Schizosaccharomyces pombe: one gene and its partners. Each later gene encodes a partner of the first gene's protein in a complex. Each region holds a gene or a part of one and is shown on either strand. Other genes may lie near its edges. The genes, in order: mis14, spc24, mis12 and mis13.

Region 1 (3,536 bases):
GAACATGACTCCCATTTTCTTTCGTTATATTGTTCGCCAGTTTGTGAATGGGATAAAATCCAAGTATCTAAGTAAAGAAACATTTTTGAACCTTGACTACATTGATAATCACCTCGCATCGAACGAATACTTTGCAGGCGAACAGTTCACCGCTGCGGACCCGCAGATGTGCTTTCCTATATTTGCTGCTCAAAGAGATTACCTATCTCAGAAACCTTACAAAAATATTAAGCGTTGGATGCGGGTTGTCAGTGATAGGCCTGCATGTCGAATTGCTGCTGAAAAAGTTGAAGACAATACGTTGACTTTGTTTTCTGATGTGGAAAGGTACTCCCATCCCCCTACCCCTCCTCCCGAGCAAGTTCGCTCTGATGAATAAGATTTCTGCCGTGGCTCTTTTTTTCTTAAGCAAGTCGGCTTGAGACATACAAGGCTTCAGCAAGCTTACTTTTTTATTCTGCTTGTACGGAACTTATGCTGTTAATGTAGATAATGATTTGTACAATAACTAGGATATTGTGGTAACTACATAAAAATTTTTGCGACACCCCTTTTGAAATGATTTTCCGATGCAAGAAACAAGGCTTCGGTGCTTAAACGCTTGGACTTTTCTCTCTTTATCTGTCTCCCTCTCTATACATATATATATATATTATATACGCGTATACATCTAGTTTTGTGAATGGGAACATGTTACTGTTATTTAGTCTGAAAAAGAAGTTATGGTTACAAATCTTGTTTTTGATTTAATGTTAATTTATATATGACTACTTTTGAATTCAATAAGTTTTGCTGCTGTTGCATGAATTGTTTAACTAGGTAGTGAAAACTTAGAAGAGTATTTATTTTGTAAAGAATGCTTTAGTGTACAGTTAAACAAGTTCTCCATTTTCTTTCACTTTATGACAGAAGACATAAACAGGGCCCTACTAACTAACTTTTTTTAACATGAAACATGAAACAGTATAATGAACTTGGACGTTATCGTAATCACTTACAACGTATGATTTGTTGGCCATCCTTAAACAAAGAAAGTTGGAATGATGTATGAATAAAATACCATGGCTTACAAATTGTACCGAAAGCGTCCGTAGGCAATTGCTACTACCACTAATATAAATGGACAAGAAAGAGTATTGTTATTATTGCTTTGAAGTAGTTGCTGCAACTTTAGAGCATCGAAAGGTCCGAGACAAGTGGAATGCAAAGAGTTGGACCCGTAGTATCCCTCTGTTCGTAAAGTTTGCATCTGGAAAAGGCCATGATAAACAACTACGAGGTTGCATTGGAACTTTCCGGGCACGTCCTTTAGTTACAAATTTAACATATTTCAGTAAACAAGCGTAAGTGTGTCTAAAAATGGTTCATAGTTCGTTGTAGGCGTCAATGATAAATCATAGACCTTCGTATGAAATTGCCGATGAAATTGAAAAGAAGAGTAACCGAATGCTAATACAACATTTTAAAAATAGTGCATTTTGTGATGAACGTTTTCGTCCTATCTCCTTGGGAGAATTGGCTCTTTTAGAGTGCCAGATAGACTTGTTAGTCGACTTTGAACCGATAGATGATCCATTAGATTGGGAAGTTGGCATACATGGCGTGTCTATTAAATTTACGGCAAATGGAATTCGTTATTCTTCGACTTATCTACCTTCTGTAGCGGCTGAACAACGTTGGGATCAAGAGGAAACCCTAGAAAGCTTGATACATAAAGCAGGCTACTATGGATCAATACGTTCTTTACAAATAACTGCTACTCGCTATAAGTCCTTGGAAATCGGGTGTACTTATGAAGAATATCTTCATAATTTGGAGCTTCTGGGATAACCTGATCTATATACAATGGTTCTTTTCTATCTATTTACATAGCGTAATTAAGCTATCGCTTAAGTTTTCAGCCAGTACTATCACATCCAAATTCTTTTCAGACTAATGATTTCTATCTCTCAGCTAAAAATTTAACTTTCTCTTAATATATTCTAATCTATTAATCATATATTCTTAAAGAAAAACATTTCTTTCTAGCATTCATGTCGTCTCACGGAGATGCTAGCGTTTTACCAAAAATTGCATTGGAAAGGTGTGTTTCATAATCCCATGTAGTTTAGAGCTTTTATTTATGCTTTTAATTTGAAATTAGAAAATCTGATTTTAACACTTTATAAGTATCAACGATTACAGTTACGTAAAATCGGTGTTTCGTCAAGCCATACAAGAAAAACTTGCTATTCATTTACCAGAACAAGCTTCACGGGAAGCTGGAATGGGTCGTGAAGACCAATTGCGAATTCGAGTCAAAGAAATGTTAAACGAGGTGAGTATACAGTACACGCTTCTAATCAGCCATAAAGTCGAAATTCCATAGCAGCTTCGATTAAAAAAAATATATATATATATAAAGTAAAATGAGAGACCTCTTCAATTACTAATGCTTAACATATAGCTGATTGAATCCACTTTCTCAATAATACAAGAAAACGTTACAATCAATGGCTTTGATGCAAATTCAGCCTTGCAAGATCCAAAAAATTCCGACCAAATTGAGCCATTTGATCTGGCTCTTCGTACTCGAGTCCAACAATTATTCAATGAAGTAGAAGATGCTCATGTCCTAGTGGCTCGATACCGAAAGTCTGTACCAGCACAATATGAAAAGGCATATGTTGATGCGATGGAGCAACAGACCGCATTTTTAAGAAACGTGAAAGATGACTATGTTTCTCTCCAAGATAAAGAAGTAGAAAACCCGGATGAACAAACTTCGACAACTGTGTTTAGAAAAGAGGACATCGACCGATACGAGCAGACTATTGCTAAAGTAGCATATTTAAAGAAAAATCTCCCTAGAGTAGTTGCCCGATTGGAAAAAACTCCTTAATCATTAATAATTTTAATATACGGGTAAACTAATATTAATTTAGTGCTATTTCATCTCAACTTATACTTCATTCCAACTGCTCACCAGAAACAAACCGGTTGATTCATAATGTACTAATCTTAACAAATCTTATTAATCAGTGCATAACTGCAGACAACATATTAAATAGTTTATCAAATTCGTATAATGCTTATATTGATTCTAATTATATCAGTCTTTTTCTTTTCAAAACCATGGAAATTTAAATGAATCAAATTTGTGATTTTAATCATAGTACCACGGCTCGTGAACAACTAAATTATTGTCATAGTAATGTCCATTAACACCCGTTCCTTCAAATAATGATGGATACCTGTGTGATTCAGGAACGTGTTCCTTGTCGATTCTGACGTTCCTACCTAAATCTTTGGTAACCAAAAACTTTCCGGTTTGAAGCTCGGTGTCTGTTATAGTAGAGCGATGAAGTCTAGCATAACCAATTCGCTTGACACCTCGATAAAATATATACTGACACCAACGATCATAGTCAGCAGGTTCAATGTCTAACATTCCCGTGTCTCGCGTTAGAATAGTTTGGGGTTCTTGGCCAACGTTTGAAACAACATATCCGAGAAACACTAGAGGCCTTGGACTCTCGCGCATAATTCGAGCCAAC
Region 2 (6,045 bases), on another chromosome or scaffold:
CTGTTGATGATTTTGATCCTACCCCATATGTTAAGGCGTCTTGTAGACCTTATATGATTAGTTCTTCAAATCTTGCTACTACTAGGTTACCGAGAGACCTCGTTGACGTTTATGAAACTTACAATATAGAGGTTGTTAAACAAGAAACTAATTTCCGGGAAATGATATTTGATCCTTCCCTGTCAGTTGCCTCGAAAATGAATGCGTATTGTGATATGCCTTTTACCATGCCGCTTTCCTTAAATGACAAACAAAATAATGAAGGGGATGAGAATTGTGAGAAAGGTCAGTTGTTTGATGCGAAGTCTACTATCAAGAGCATCGTTGCCATCCCAGACGCTACATATGATGCTCGGTTTTCGCAAGAACGTCTTATGCAGTATCCAGAAGATATTCTCATCGCTGCTCATCAAGAATTATTGGATAAGAGAATAATTACTAGAGTTAATTCAGAAAACAGTAGATTGCAGCCTGGTCGAAACTTCCAGTTTACGGAGAAATTTGCAAGTTCCCTCAAGTCTCCTTTACCTCCATTTTTATTGTCACAAGCCAAGCGATTTAATAAATTTTTATTGGAGGGTTTTCAAAATCATAAGAATCATTTATTTGAAGAAACATCTAACAGTGGAACTCTCGCATGTATCCTTGATTTATTATCTCAAGGAAAGTTGCAAATATCTATAGTCGGAAGCAAGTTTAATGAGTATGGTCTATCTGAAGGCTATCGTACTCGTTTGCTAGAACATGACAATATCAATGTAACTCTTGTTCTCAGCGGCAAAGAAAGTGAATCTAAAAAAAATTATGGTGTTACTGAAAAGTTGGCAACTCCACCTTCGCATGAGCCACGGCTATGGTTAAATGGTAAATGCGAGCTTATTGAGATGATATGGATGAATATCGAGCAGTCCATTGTATACCAACTGCTTCGAAAACCCGGAATCTTGAGATCCCAACTGACTAACTTACTATTTCCCGGATTAGAACCCCGTGAGTTTAACGAAGTACTTGATTACTTTATAGCAGCAGGTGCCGCTATTGAAAAGGATGGCTTATATCTAAACCATAATTATCTCTTTAAATTAACTTAGCCTTTTAAATGTCACCATGATGAGATGATGCAAGCTGAGTATTTTCTTTCAATAGGCTTGTCGATTTGGAACATTTATATTACAAGCAACGATTTAATGTTTATTTGTACAGTATTTAGGATTCATTTTTAAATTATCTAAAAGATACCACGCTGTGTCTGCTTCTAATCTATAATTAATTATATTAGCGTGTTTTGAATTAATCTGATTTCGCGTTTTCTTCCATCTAAACTTTATATCGTATAAAAATCAAAAAGGTTTCATCGACTGTTTTGCTGAAAAGGTGAAGAAAACTTGAATCGAGGTTATCTCTTTTCTTTCTGTTTTATGTACATAACTTTAGCTCCTATAGAAAAAAGAAAAAACCTGCATCATGTAGATTTGTTTAACTAATTTACGTATGCATATATATATATATATATATATATTAGTAGAGTAAGGTTGATTTTCTAACCATACTTTATTTACGGTAGCATCATTCGTACCTTTTCGTACGTTACGACCACGTTGAAAGTTTTCAAAGAAATTACTTTTTAAACACAAAAGAACATAAATAAAAGAGAAGTAAATATGTCAGACAGTCCAATTGAACTTATGCGGTCCACGCTTGCTGGTTTTCAAATTGCACCAGATGTGAAAACCATCTCAAACATTCAAGACATTCGCGCACAGATACAGAGCTTCAGAGAAAAAGAATTGGAAGGATCTCAAACCAAATTTAAAGGTTAGTTTTAATCTAGAAATAAACGACCATGCATTAACTGTGAATAGTGCTTTCAAGAAAATTAGAAATATCTACCCAGGCTATGGAGTCATTAAAACAAACAGCAGAGTCATCACAACACGCTGAGGAGATTTTAAGCAGGGAAAAGGAGAAATTTAGGATAGCCAAGTTGTTGAATATCACTGAGAACGAAATTATGAGTTTAGAATCTCAATTGCAGAAAATGAAGGAACAGCTACTACAACTTGAGGAACGCGAAAATACTTCTGAAGACATATGTCAGTCAGAGGAAAATGCGAATATGTTAAAGCTGAACTTTTATCATTCTTTAGGCTTCGATTTAGAAACTGCTGAGAACACTGGGAATAAAAGGGTTATAATACGTATGTCATTTGCTCATAATTTGAATTTACCTTTCAATTTTTTATCTTTAAAAAGCTTGATGATATGAAAAATTCAAGCTTTAAAATTGAACTTTAAAACTGTTTTTCGAATCTACTCACACTTTCCTAGATACCGAAAACGATTTGCAAACGGTACAAATCAGCAACAAGTATAGCCCATATTTTTATTCTAATTATTTTTGGGATTTGCTTGATGATAGTAAGGACAAAAAATAGATGGCACTATTATTTTATTTATTTATTTAATCTTGATTGTGTATACCGGTTTTTAAACATGACTCAACATAACGAATGGCCGCTATAAGAGAATCCAATTTGATATTATACAATTTGGCTACCATGATAGTAACCCGATGAGCTGTATTTTCTGTATTAGGTGAAAAAGGAAGCATTGATATATAAGCATCCTTTCGTCGTGAAAAGTCCATTTTATCAGACTCTTTAATGCCTACAGGTTTGAACACTTGTTCTAACTTTACATCTTCAGCAATGACGGATTCGTCGGTGAGTATATCTGTAGGTTGATTTTCTTGTAAATGGCTGTCTTTCGAAAGAATCGGAAATACGTTAAGAATTCCTTCTGGAATATTATTTGGGTTGTTTTCTTCGACAAACTCTTTTTCATACCATTGAAAATATTTATCCATTTCAGAGTTATTGAGCGTCAAAATGGATTGCTCGTCTATCTCGTAGAACTTGTCTTTTTCTTTCTCATTAATTTTTTGCACTTGGGATAACCACATGTTCCAGTTGGTTTTAACAGTGAACATCGAGTCTTTGTATTTGGAATTTCGAGTTTGGGCATCATCAAACCCATAACATACATTTGCTGCTACTAAGATGGTAGCGAGTAACATAACCTCCGCATCAGATAACTTTTCATGTATCGATTGAGCACTGCGTATTTTGCTTTGATAATTATCGCTAGAGGTACCTTGAAGTGAAATCTGCGAGTGAACGAGATTTAGTAAACGAGAAGCAGGTATGAAGATTTCTAAGGGAAAAAAGAAACTGTTAATAAGCTCAAAAAGTATCAATGGCTCATTAGGTGGAGGAACTTTTAGTTCGTATTTAGATACTAAAACGTCAACCAATGTCAAGACAGCGGATTGTATGCGTTGATACGTTGGATAATGAAAAGGAATTAGCATCCTTACATAGTTTTTTTGAAGCCTTTTAAATATTTTTAGAGGTATCTGTTTATACGCTCTATAATATGGAATAATATTTTTCCTTATTAAAACTTCGAGTTTATGAATGGTCAGAGGCAGTCTTAGTAAAAGACAGGCGACATAAATAAAGGCAGAAGAGTATAAAAGCCGAGGATAAGATATAGAATGCGACTGAGAAGTTTCCTTCGTTTTTCTTGAGCTCGGATCAGCTCCCGGTTGACTCTCAGGATCTATGAGATCAAAATCCGAATCTGATGATTCTGATTGCGTTGAATTTTGGTTGAGGGAAAGAAAACTAGAAGTAAATGATTCATAAGACAGGGAAAGGTAAAGCGCCCAAAGGTCACGTATCATGCCTTCTATTCTTTGGTCAAATCCGAGTTTCGTAGTTAACGCTTGACATTGAAGTTGAAGAATAATTTGAAAAGCCTGAAGATATAAGCTTCTACCAGCGGTACCATAAACAATCTCATCTTCATCTCCAGTGTCTAGATGGTTGCGAACAACCTTTCTTTTACGAGTTTGATAAAAAGTCCCTGCACCAGGTTCATCATCTTGAGCGATTTCAATTCCCTAAAATTTAACAATTTTATTAATGAACATTCATTAAAGCGCAAACCTATTAAAAACAACTTACATGTTGAGCATGACCACGACGACAAAATGTTTGACCTGCATTTTTAAAATACCAAGTACTTTTGCAGTTTCTTACAGAACAAGGCGGACCTTCAAACCAATTGCCTTCCATTGTAAAGGAACTGGATATGCAAATAGATGCAGACTTATTTAAAAGTACAAACAGTGAACTATAGACGAAGAAAAATAAGAGAACAAAACACTTAAAGGGTATTCAAGTAGGTAAGCATTTGTAAAAAGATCTGCACAGTTTCTAACGGTGTTGTTATTTATAAACTGCTATGCCAGCATTTTACCAATATTTTGGAAAGTATGAATCGACTGAAAAAACCTAACAGATTTTCTTTCAGCTGCGAAATACCGTTTATATAGTTTTGGATAAATCCTTCACAAATGTATCACAGTAGACTGTTAGTCAGTCAGTAGCGATAGGCAGTTTTTGAGATCTAACGGGCGCCACGTTAATACATATGAGTTGTAACGGCTTGGTAGATAGTGCATACATTGATTAACTATTGTGAAAAGCCATTATATAAAAACTGCAAGTCCACTCTAGATTATATATTACCTCGGGTATCCAACCTTGAGACATAAAGGTTGAAACTAGGATAAAAATTGAGGAAAGTTAAAATAGGCTGAAGAAAAGGTGCTACTGATACATTTAAAAGAGAAAATAACAGCCATCAAGCAGTTTGATACATACCCGTAGTACGAATATATAACCATAATCTAATTTATCTTAAAACTATCAGATATATAAGAAGTCTTACGTTTACAGATTCCAAAGAACATTCTATTTACAAAAATCGTTAAACAAACAATGAATATGGTAAAGGAGGAGCAAAACTTGTTTACTAAACGACCATTTTTAAAGGGAAGAGGGTTTATATTTAGGCGCTGGGAGCATCACGGCAAGCGAGAGCAATCTCTTCACCCATGGCAGAGACAACGGTAATGATTAAATCCTTACCCTCTTCAAAGCCCTCTTCAATTTCGTTGCCGAGTTCGCCTTCGGGAAGACGAACATCGTCCTTGGTAGTACCATCGGTAGTCATGAGGTTCAAGTAGCCATCATCAATGTTGACTAGTTGGTATTCGTCACGCTTGACAACAGGAACGTCCATGTTATGAGTAGAGGGAGACATATCTTCGTACTTGCGACCATTGAAGATATCAAGGGCAACAATGTGGACCTTGGCATGTCCGTGCTTACCAGTCTTAGAGGTGGACATGTCGACGATCTTGCAAGGACGGCCCTTGATGACGACGTGTCCGTTCTTACGCAAAGCAGAGCATTGCATAGGGAAGGTCAAAGAGGCACCGGCCTCACCACCCTCGAAATCGACGTGTTCTTCTTCTGCCATTGTTGGTTTATGCTCTTTCTGTATGAACATGCCCATCACTTTCCCATTTGTTAAATGTGACTACTTTTTCCATGTGAGATTGCTTTAACCCTACCCTAAAGCAACCAAACTAAGTGCAGTGAAGTAAAACGTAATACATGTTATTTGAAGTATACCTTTGCAACGTTAAAATTCGTAAAGTAACTCATCATAATTATTTGACGTATCGTTAGATTACATTAAATTGTTCAGGCTTAACACTGATGGAAGCGCCGAAACCAGGGTGATAAACAACACCTAAATTAAACTTAACCCTCCTTAACTTACCAAACTAACTATTTGCAGGATTATACCTTCCATTTGTTCTGGGATGCAGCTGTCACGTTGAGATATAACATCTATAGGTACAGTATAATAAGTCCGGCATGCAGAGAGCTTCTACCCAGGATGTTTATGATGGAAGTGGTGATGATCTAAACAAACTTGATTCTCTCAAGTCAGTGTTGAATGATGTTCTGAGCTCTTTGGAGCGATTCCAGGTGGATCTGGATGTCGCTACTAGTGATATCTACAAAGTCAGTGAGCGCTCAAACAAAATTCAAGTAAATTTAAACAATTTGAAGGCAGTGGAGTCAGCACTTGGAGCAGAGATTGATGGTGCGATTCTTCCACCTG
Region 3 (4,246 bases), on another chromosome or scaffold:
TTAATTGTTAATTTGGAAGCTTGATATTATTACGATTCGCATTTTACATAGCTGCTGTCACTATTTTTAAGAAAAGAATCGGATTTTTTTAACAATTCATTGTTTAGCGCTATTATATTACAACACTTCTTTTTTTTTTTTTTTGTTATAGTAAACCGCTAATGCAAACTACATAGGACTATTAGCTCCAATCGTTCACCATATTGAATGGAAGAGTAAAGATAATCTTATTGATGAACATCCCTATTTTGTAACAAGACAAAAGCAAGCTTTAAGCAATTCGGGATAGTAAGTTCAACTTTCTAAATCGTAATTCACATACGTACTTAAAACAACAGTAAAAGATAACGAAATGTGCTTTGTTGGGATAAAATATGTTCATCAATGTACATTTGTATATATGCGATAATGAAATTGATTTGCTGCGACTTAATACGACCAGTGTTGGTACGTCAAGTATCAAGTGATCGCACGCATCGTGAAAACTTCAGTAGTAAAAAATCATCAGTATACTTTATATCAATTTTTTTTTTATAAAAAAAAAAAGGCGCATGATGAGGTGGATGGGAAGATTCCCATTTTACACTGAAAACTACACTTAATGATCCAAGGACAAAAAACTTTATACACAAAAAGCCACAAACTATCTGTCTTCGGCCCATTCCTGCAAGCGGTTAGAATTAAGTTAATAAAGTACCAAGGAACGTACATTTTCTTTACGGATTTGCTCTTCCTCCTCAGGCGTAAAATCATTAGGGATGTTAAATGTTTTCCGAATGTCCTCAGGACTCTTGCCACGAATCATGTTGGCAACGGTTTTACAACCAGTATCAAGCAAAGGTTTAATATCCAAATAATTGCTTGCCAAAACTATCTCGAACAACATTTCCTGGTCTACGGCCATAAACTTACGATCCCATTCATCAATATCGGTAGACTTTTTTAATCTAATGTCACTTTCCTCCTCAGTTCCTGAATACAAATCGTTTTTGTGATGCTCACACCATTCGAGTACCTTTCGCAAAACGTTCGATGATACGTTTGGAAGAGGAATGGGGACATTAATCTCACCAACGTCTATTGAAATTGAGATTTTAGTAACAGGGTCCATAATAATTATTGCACTCAACAAGCGCTTGTATAGATCATACCTTCAAGCATATTTTTTATAAGCATACTTCTCTCAGCGATCAGTTGATCTATAAACAGTTTGTCAATTCACTCAATTCAAAACATTCTCCGTTCTACATACCGACCACGAACTCTTCATTGTCAGATGAAATCAGTTTGATTTTGGACATTGTTGATGTATGTAAGTAATGGATGAATGAAAGTTAAGCTGTTAGCATTTCTAGTTATGCTGATATTCCTACAGTGGCAGAACTCACTAATTCGATATTGGGAAAAGGTGCTAACCCTCATTAAATCAAATTGCATAGCAGAACGATCCCACCGTGATAGCTAAAAAAGGCTACTGAAGAATAATAAAAGAAAGCATAGAAATTGAGGTTTAAGATGAGTCCGTACTATTAATGTATAATTCGAATATAGTTAATATTAGTGTATTCCTCCACTAGAGCTTAGTTGAGGATATAGAAACTCTAGTAATGATTTACCAAGCACAAATCAAAAGCCACACTTCTAAGCAACTAACAAAATAAACCGACTAAACTGTTAATCGCCTGAGTTATATGTTCCTCACAGCAATAAAAACAGCAACAAATCTATGTATTATTCATACTTTTTGATGGGATATACGGAAATCCCTTTTACCTCGTTATTATCATATCTGAGTACACCAGACAAAATGCAACATGGGGTTGGTACATTGCAGAACAACTTGCCGTTTAAAAATCATAACTCACTAGTTTCCTCTTTGGAAGCTAATCAGTGTTTTCAATGTAAAGGAATTAATTAAAAAATGTTAGTGGAGTTACTAGAATTCACTCCTCTCTCCTTCATTGATGATGTGATCAACATTACGAACCAACTGTTATATAAAGGTGTAAATGGTGTGGATAAAGCCTTTTCACAAACGCGGTTTGCTAAAAAAGCGCCACAGGAAATAGAAGAAGGACTACACAAGTTCGAGGTTCTCTTTGAAAGTGTGGTGGATCGTTACTATGATGGTTTCGAGGTGTATACACTTCGAAACATTTTTAGTTATCCACCAGAGCTAAAAGGCTACATGCGTACGTTTGGAAAGGATGTAGACTATTCAATCACAACAGAGCAAGACGCCGCCATGGATCAAGCAATTCAAGAGGCTGCAGAAAAACTCGTAGTAAAGATGCAACTACGTCGTGACCTTCGCATGCGTCTCAGCAGGAAAAGAGAAAAAAAAACAGAAATAGAAAAGCATTTGGAAAGAATTTCTTTTCTCAACAAAGTACCCGAAAATTGGCAAGTTACTTTACCAGAAACTACCGATTTCCTTCTTGATCAACTTGGTAATCTGCAGCATGCCGTTAAAAGAGTAGTTGAAGCCTCTCCCACTGTACACTCACGAGAGGTGGATGAAAGAATTACCTACTTAGAAAAAGGTTACGAACGATTATCTAATCCCATCGACCAGCAAAAGGATTTTTGGTCACATCACTTGTCAAAACTAGAATCGACAGCCAATACTGAAACTGCAAATAACATTCATAAGTTGCTATTGTCATCTGAAAAAGACGTCGGACATACTGACGAGCCTTAATACTAATCAACTAGCTAAAGTCTTGAGATGTTCTAACAATTGTGATCGTTTACGTAAACTTTCATAATAAATATATAAGAATTGGCGTTGGATCTCTAGCGAAAGCAAAGTAATGCTTAATAAAGAAAACTTGGATTGTCTCTGTCACTTTTTCCGTTACATTTTTATTTGTTTTGTTTAACTTCTCTTTTTTCCTAAATAACTGAATGGATAATAATTATTCTGACCCATTAACTCCAAATCTGTCAAACAATTCGACACTTGTACATTTTTCATGCTCTGCCACTTTGCCAATCATTCCCAAAGCAATATCCCGTATTTCATTATAGGTATGGAGTAGATCGATATGTTTTTGTACAGTTTGCTTAGCATCTCGATTTCTAAATCATTTGTCAACATTAGATAAAACGAGACAAGCTTGATGATGACTTGAATAGATTTGATGGAACGGCAATACATTGCTTTTCCCAAAATGAACCTGAACGCGCGTAAAGGCGCATAACTCATATTTTCTACCATTTCTAGCATCACTTTACCACACTTACTTTAGCTTAGCTAAAGCGTCTTGTAAACTACTTTCCAATTGCTCCTTCTGCTGTTCAAGCAAATGGACGCGTGACTCAAGTTGAGACTGCAGTAATTCATCAGTATTTTGTGAATGAACAATGGTACCGTTGGCTTACCTTTTCCATACGATTTAAACAGTTCTTTCTTAATGAAGCAATGATGTGTGAAATTTACTAGGAAGGTATCTGTTTTTGAACACCTAGTAGAAATTAAGTTGTTGAGGAAGGCAGGAGCCTACCGATTTGTTCAATTGAAAACAATGTCTATTGTTCTTGTAAGAGAGAATTTAGATTAGTGATGAAAGACAAGTAAATTGTTGAATCACGAACAATGGCTTATTTCAATATAATGAACTTCGCTAATTTGTATAAGAAAGTATAAGGATCACATCGGTTTTCGTATGCCCATGTACAAATTGCCTTCTTGCATGTATTTAAAGAATTGCTTACATTAGCATTTCCTGATTTAAAAATTGTTAATAAACATTTAAATTTTCCCATCTGTTTGAAGTGTATACTTAAGAAGTTTCAAATTCTGAACTTGTCTTAATATTTTGTCTCTTATTGGATAAAGCACGATTTGATTCCAAGCATGTTATTTCCTAGAGTTGTGCCGTTTCAATCTTTAAGGACAGCATTCCAAAAGAAAACCTTTTTACCAGTATCTTCAGCTGGTAACGTTTTCACTCCACGTTTCCAATTGCAAGCAATTCGCAGCATATGGATCCGATCGGAGGAGACACCGAACGAAAACGCTTTGAAGTTCCTGCCAGGGCTAGATATCTTGCCTCCAACTATCGGAAGCTGTGAATTCATGAGAGGACAAGGAACTGTGAATTCTCCATTGGCACAGAAACTATTTGATATAGATGGAGTTGATAGCATTTTTTTTGGAAAGGACTTTATTACTGTTTCCAAGGGAGCAGGAACTGAATGGGCTCAAATGAAGCCAGAAGTGTTTAGTGTAATTATGGAGCAT
Region 4 (3,700 bases), on another chromosome or scaffold:
TAGCCACGAACAATAGCTTCGATAGGAAGAATCTTGTATTTCTTAACGAGCATGGATCTATCCTTTAACTCTTCATGCTTCGTGATAACAGGAGGTAATTCTTCCCACCTAGAAGTAATCAAATGAGTTTGGACATGAGGTTTTAAAACATCAAACCAAAATTCTGAAATTTTTGTCAAAACCTTTCCCTTCTCAGGGATGCCGTTCTCCATGATAAAATCATAGGCGCTTATTCTGTCTGTTGCTACGAACAAAAGATCATCGGGAAATTCTACACACTCATACAGGTCTCTGACTTTGCCGGTAGCAATTTTAGTGAATGGAGCATCCAACGAAGTTTTTAATAATGCCATTTGAAATGAACTTGATGTAGAAATGAAGGTTTAAACTATTCCACTTGAAGACAATTAGCTTTTGGTATAAAAATAACAAAGTATTTAAAGAAAATCCGTGTGATCTCTTTTCATTTCGTTTTAATATGCTTCTTCTGTATGAGGTCTATATAGTATAACATAGAACATCGATTAAAAATTTCAGAGAAACAAAAGCAATTACAATTATCAAAAAGGATACTATTACATAACATACCACTTAGAATTGGCTCCAAAAAACCCTGGTTTCAATGAATCCAGTTAACTCTAACTTTCGATGTAGTAGAAAGGAAAGATACAAGAGAGATGAGACAGATCGTCGTAGATCTTGGCAATACACTGAGACAGATTAAGAACAGATAATCAGTAAAGATTCTTTTCAATTATAAAGAATTTAAAAATTCCGAAATAAATTCGTATTTGAGGATGATGGCAACCTAAGTAAGTGCTCGAAAAGTAAGTTGTACAGGACATGCTGTGGTTATAAATTCCATGTTTAATTAAAATAAATAAAACAAATAAATTAATAATTATAATAAGAAAACTATTACTTCACTTAAGTTAAAAAGAGCTTTAAACACCGACTACTGTTGCCTTTTTGACTGCAGAATATTTTGAAACAACTTTATATAGGAAGTGTTTTAAGAGTAGGATAATTCAAACTTTTAATTCTTAAAACTATACTGGATCCTTAAAGTTCTGGCTTGTCTGCAAAGCCATGTAATCTAAAATTGGGTACTTTCTGTAAATAATATGCAGCGATTTAAAATCAACAATAACCAGCTAAGTCTGAAAATTACTACAATTTAGATTTTGTACATATAGAATACTCGAATATTTTTCATTATACTTATATTTGATTATTCATCTTATTTATCGTCGCTATATTTTTCAACAATTATGATAAAGTACAAGCTCAATCCTGGCAGCTCATGGACATCTTGACTATTTGTCAAAAACTGTAAACAGTTTTAATGGTAATAATATCCACATTTTGTAATTTGCATAACTTTTCAGCTTAGCATTTCATGTCGCATTCCTCAATTATATATATATATATATATATATATTACATAAACAGTAAACTTGATATAGTATAAGAAGAGGTCTTATGAATTTATAAGGGGAATTAACCAACCATTCAATGGATTATGTTAAAATTATTATTCTTATTATTTTACAGCAGAAAAAAGGATATATATTTTTGTTTTTGCAAGTTCGAAGATAATCTAGCAATTAAACAAATATTTTATACCAAGTTGTAACAAGTGTATCTCCAAAAAGAAAGGAATACTTAACAGTAAAAAAGAATTTAATCATTATTTATTTTTTTATTTATTCTCTACATGAATATACTTTGCTTTGATGAATTTTCAATGCTCAATTGTAAGGCCGACTTATAACGCGCTCGCTATACTTTGTTAGGTTACCTAGTGTAAACAATGAGTAAGGTAGTCTTTGCAATCCTGACTCGACTTGACCCTAACCAGCATCCATTATGAAACGAAAGCCTGAAGAGCAGGAAGGATTTGTATTCGTTAGGAAGGGTAAAGAAAAAGCTGGTTCTAAAAGAAGGAAATCATCTGTGGAGGATGATCCAGATACCTCCCAAACCGATGGGTTAGTTGAGCTACCCGTGTCTGATACACCAATTGTGAAGCGAAACAAAGAACTTCGCAAGGGTAAAGGAAGAAGGAGTAGTCTTGACCAACGGGGTAAGCGTGCTAGTAGCATTGGTACTGGATTTGAAGCTTTACCACATGCAGATGTTCCATCGCATGAATACTATCGCCATATATCCAAAGACTTATCCGAACCTTTACGTATCAAACAACTTCTCCTTTGGGCTTCTTCAAAGGCCTTAGAAGAGCAAAGAAAAAAATACGGTGAAACGGAGGAAGCCAGTGAGGCAGCTATTGCTAGATCAATAGTTCAAGAAGTTCTTAACGAATTATTGGCTAATAAAGTTAGTGTTAGTTGGTATCAAAGACCACCTGATGCTGTAATTCCTAATAAACCTCATCCTCAAAATCTCAAAAATGCTCAGCTAGTGGACGAACTGTCGGCAAAGCTTACCCAACTCCATAATGAAGAAGCTGCATGGCGGGCTGTTGCTGCTAATTCCGTCAGTTCAGATAAATCAATTTTATCTTTTAAAAAAGCTGTAGAATCCATAGATTCTAAACAAGACCTTGATAAACAGGACTCTCCATTACCCCCAGATGATGCACCAGAACTTCCTAATATAAGTAAGCTGAAACCAAAATTCCACACTCTCCTGGACATGCTTGCTGAAAATATTCATACCTTGCATTCTTTGACTAACGCTGGACCTGAAGTCCGATCATCATATGGTCGCCTTGCTGCCCAGGATTTCATAGCCCATCGTAAAAGTTTGTTGTCCTTCTCCAAATATGTGGATACTATGAATTTATTAAGGCTTTTATCAGAAGCTTCCTATAAATCTTCCTCAAACGAATCAGTTTAAAATTGGATTAATCTGATACTGTTATGCCCAAATTTTTACTTATTTTTACGTTAATTTTATGTCTTTTTGCGTGCCATTGCTGCTAATTAACTAATAATGAAGGTGTGCAAACCAGCTGGACTGTGTTTGAAAATTCATGTTATACGTTATTTCAAAGGAACTCCTATAGTAGTAGCGCGCACTCACATTACTATCTACACTCAATGTACGATACATAACTGCTACTATTCACCCAATATTTAGAATTTATCAAAGGTTTCATAGTTAATTAATTTGAAATATTTGAGAAATAAATAGCTTTATCTCTAAAGTCTATATTCTATAATTAAATTTTAAAAAGCGAGAGCAGACATCGTCGCAGGTTTCGAAACATGTAACGTGTAATTAACAATAGCTTTATGATAACCAGAATACACGTGGTAAATTCCGTCATAATAGTAACGTAAAACTTTCAAACACAAAACCGCATACATGAAATTAAAAAAAAACCACGATTTCTATGAAGCTTGGACATTATTTAAATATTAAGGCAGCTTCTCAAACGCAACGGTGCACCAATATTGGAGACAAATTCAAGAAATCCCAAACCCAAACTGAAACTGTGGGGACATGAGCTAAAGAATTTTAAAAAATTTTAGCAATGGATAGGTGGAAGCATGCTTAAGGAACATATCTAAGTTCACTTATGGAATGATCCCTGAGGCGAAAAAAGCAAAGCAGCAAATTCTGACCGCTTTACGAAGCCAAGATTGTTGGCATATCTTTTAAAAAAGTGGGATAGCCAACTGAAATAATAGAGGCTTTAAATTCCTTGCATGTACACAACGCAAACCAAATGCAT

What was found.
Region 2: mis14 (region 1) and spc24 share a complex: the UniProt entries of both Schizosaccharomyces pombe proteins name them as parts of the NMS super complex.
Region 3: mis14 (region 1) and mis12 share a complex: the UniProt entries of both Schizosaccharomyces pombe proteins name them as parts of the NMS super complex.
Region 4: mis14 (region 1) and mis13 share a complex: the UniProt entries of both Schizosaccharomyces pombe proteins name them as parts of the NMS super complex.

What each region holds. Positions count from the first base shown.
Region 1 is NC_003424.3:3,112,910-3,116,445, reverse strand, and holds mis14 (MIS12/MIND complex Mis14/Nsl1), read left to right. Parts: upstream 1-1,899; 5' UTR 1,900-2,033; coding exon 2,034-2,083; exon of another isoform or gene 2,084-2,169; coding exon 2,170-2,317; exon of another isoform or gene 2,318-2,446; coding exon 2,447-2,881; 3' UTR 2,882-2,994; downstream 2,995-3,536. Other genes in the region: glutathione S-transferase Gst3, read left to right, coding at 1-379; SPOM_SPAC688.03C (AMMECR1 family protein), read left to right, coding at 1,120-1,343, 1,473-1,830; cwh43 (glycosylceramide biosynthesis protein), read right to left, coding at 3,146-3,536. UniProt on the Schizosaccharomyces pombe protein: Acts as a component of the NMS (Ndc80-MIND-Spc7) super complex which has a role in kinetochore function during late meiotic prophase and throughout the mitotic cell cycle.
Region 2 is NC_003423.3:2,753,844-2,759,888, forward strand, and holds spc24 (protein Spc24), read left to right. Parts: upstream 1-1,582; 5' UTR 1,583-1,661; coding exon 1,662-1,815; exon of another isoform or gene 1,816-1,862; coding exon 1,863-2,198; exon of another isoform or gene 2,199-2,328; coding exon 2,329-2,435; 3' UTR 2,436-2,461; coding exon of another isoform or gene 2,462-3,964; 3' UTR 3,965-4,028; coding exon of another isoform or gene 4,029-4,139; 3' UTR 4,140-4,917; coding exon of another isoform or gene 4,918-5,391; 3' UTR 5,392-5,545; downstream 5,546-6,045. Other genes in the region: transcription factor TFIIIC subunit Sfc3, read left to right, coding at 1-1,091; RNA polymerase I general transcription initiation factor subunit Rrn7, read right to left, coding at 2,462-3,964, 4,029-4,139; tif512 (putative translation elongation factor eIF5A), read right to left, coding at 4,918-5,391; GARP complex subunit Vps52, read left to right, coding at 5,796-6,045. UniProt on the Schizosaccharomyces pombe protein: Acts as a component of the NMS (Ndc80-MIND-Spc7) super complex which has a role in kinetochore function during late meiotic prophase and throughout the mitotic cell cycle.
Region 3 is NC_003423.3:1,137,203-1,141,448, reverse strand, and holds mis12 (MIS12/MIND complex Mis12), read left to right. Parts: upstream 1-1,830; 5' UTR 1,831-1,921; coding exon 1,922-2,701; 3' UTR 2,702-2,918; coding exon of another isoform or gene 2,919-3,081; 3' UTR 3,082-3,246; coding exon of another isoform or gene 3,247-3,332; 3' UTR 3,333-3,384; coding exon of another isoform or gene 3,385-3,393; 3' UTR 3,394-3,696; downstream 3,697-4,246. Other genes in the region: SCF ubiquitin ligase complex subunit Skp1, read right to left, coding at 644-664, 710-1,077, 1,152-1,199, 1,253-1,301; protein Swi5, read right to left, coding at 2,919-3,081, 3,247-3,332, 3,385-3,393; NifU-like protein nfu1, read left to right, coding at 3,860-4,246. UniProt on the Schizosaccharomyces pombe protein: Acts as a component of the NMS (Ndc80-MIND-Spc7) super complex which has a role in kinetochore function during late meiotic prophase and throughout the mitotic cell cycle.
Region 4 is NC_003423.3:1,153,771-1,157,470, reverse strand, and holds mis13 (MIS12/MIND complex Mis13/Dsn1), read left to right. Parts: upstream 1-1,849; 5' UTR 1,850-1,869; coding exon 1,870-2,859; 3' UTR 2,860-3,167; downstream 3,168-3,700. Other genes in the region: ade7 (phosphoribosylaminoimidazolesuccinocarboxamide synthase), read right to left, coding at 1-353. UniProt on the Schizosaccharomyces pombe protein: Acts as a component of the NMS (Ndc80-MIND-Spc7) super complex which has a role in kinetochore function during late meiotic prophase and throughout the mitotic cell cycle.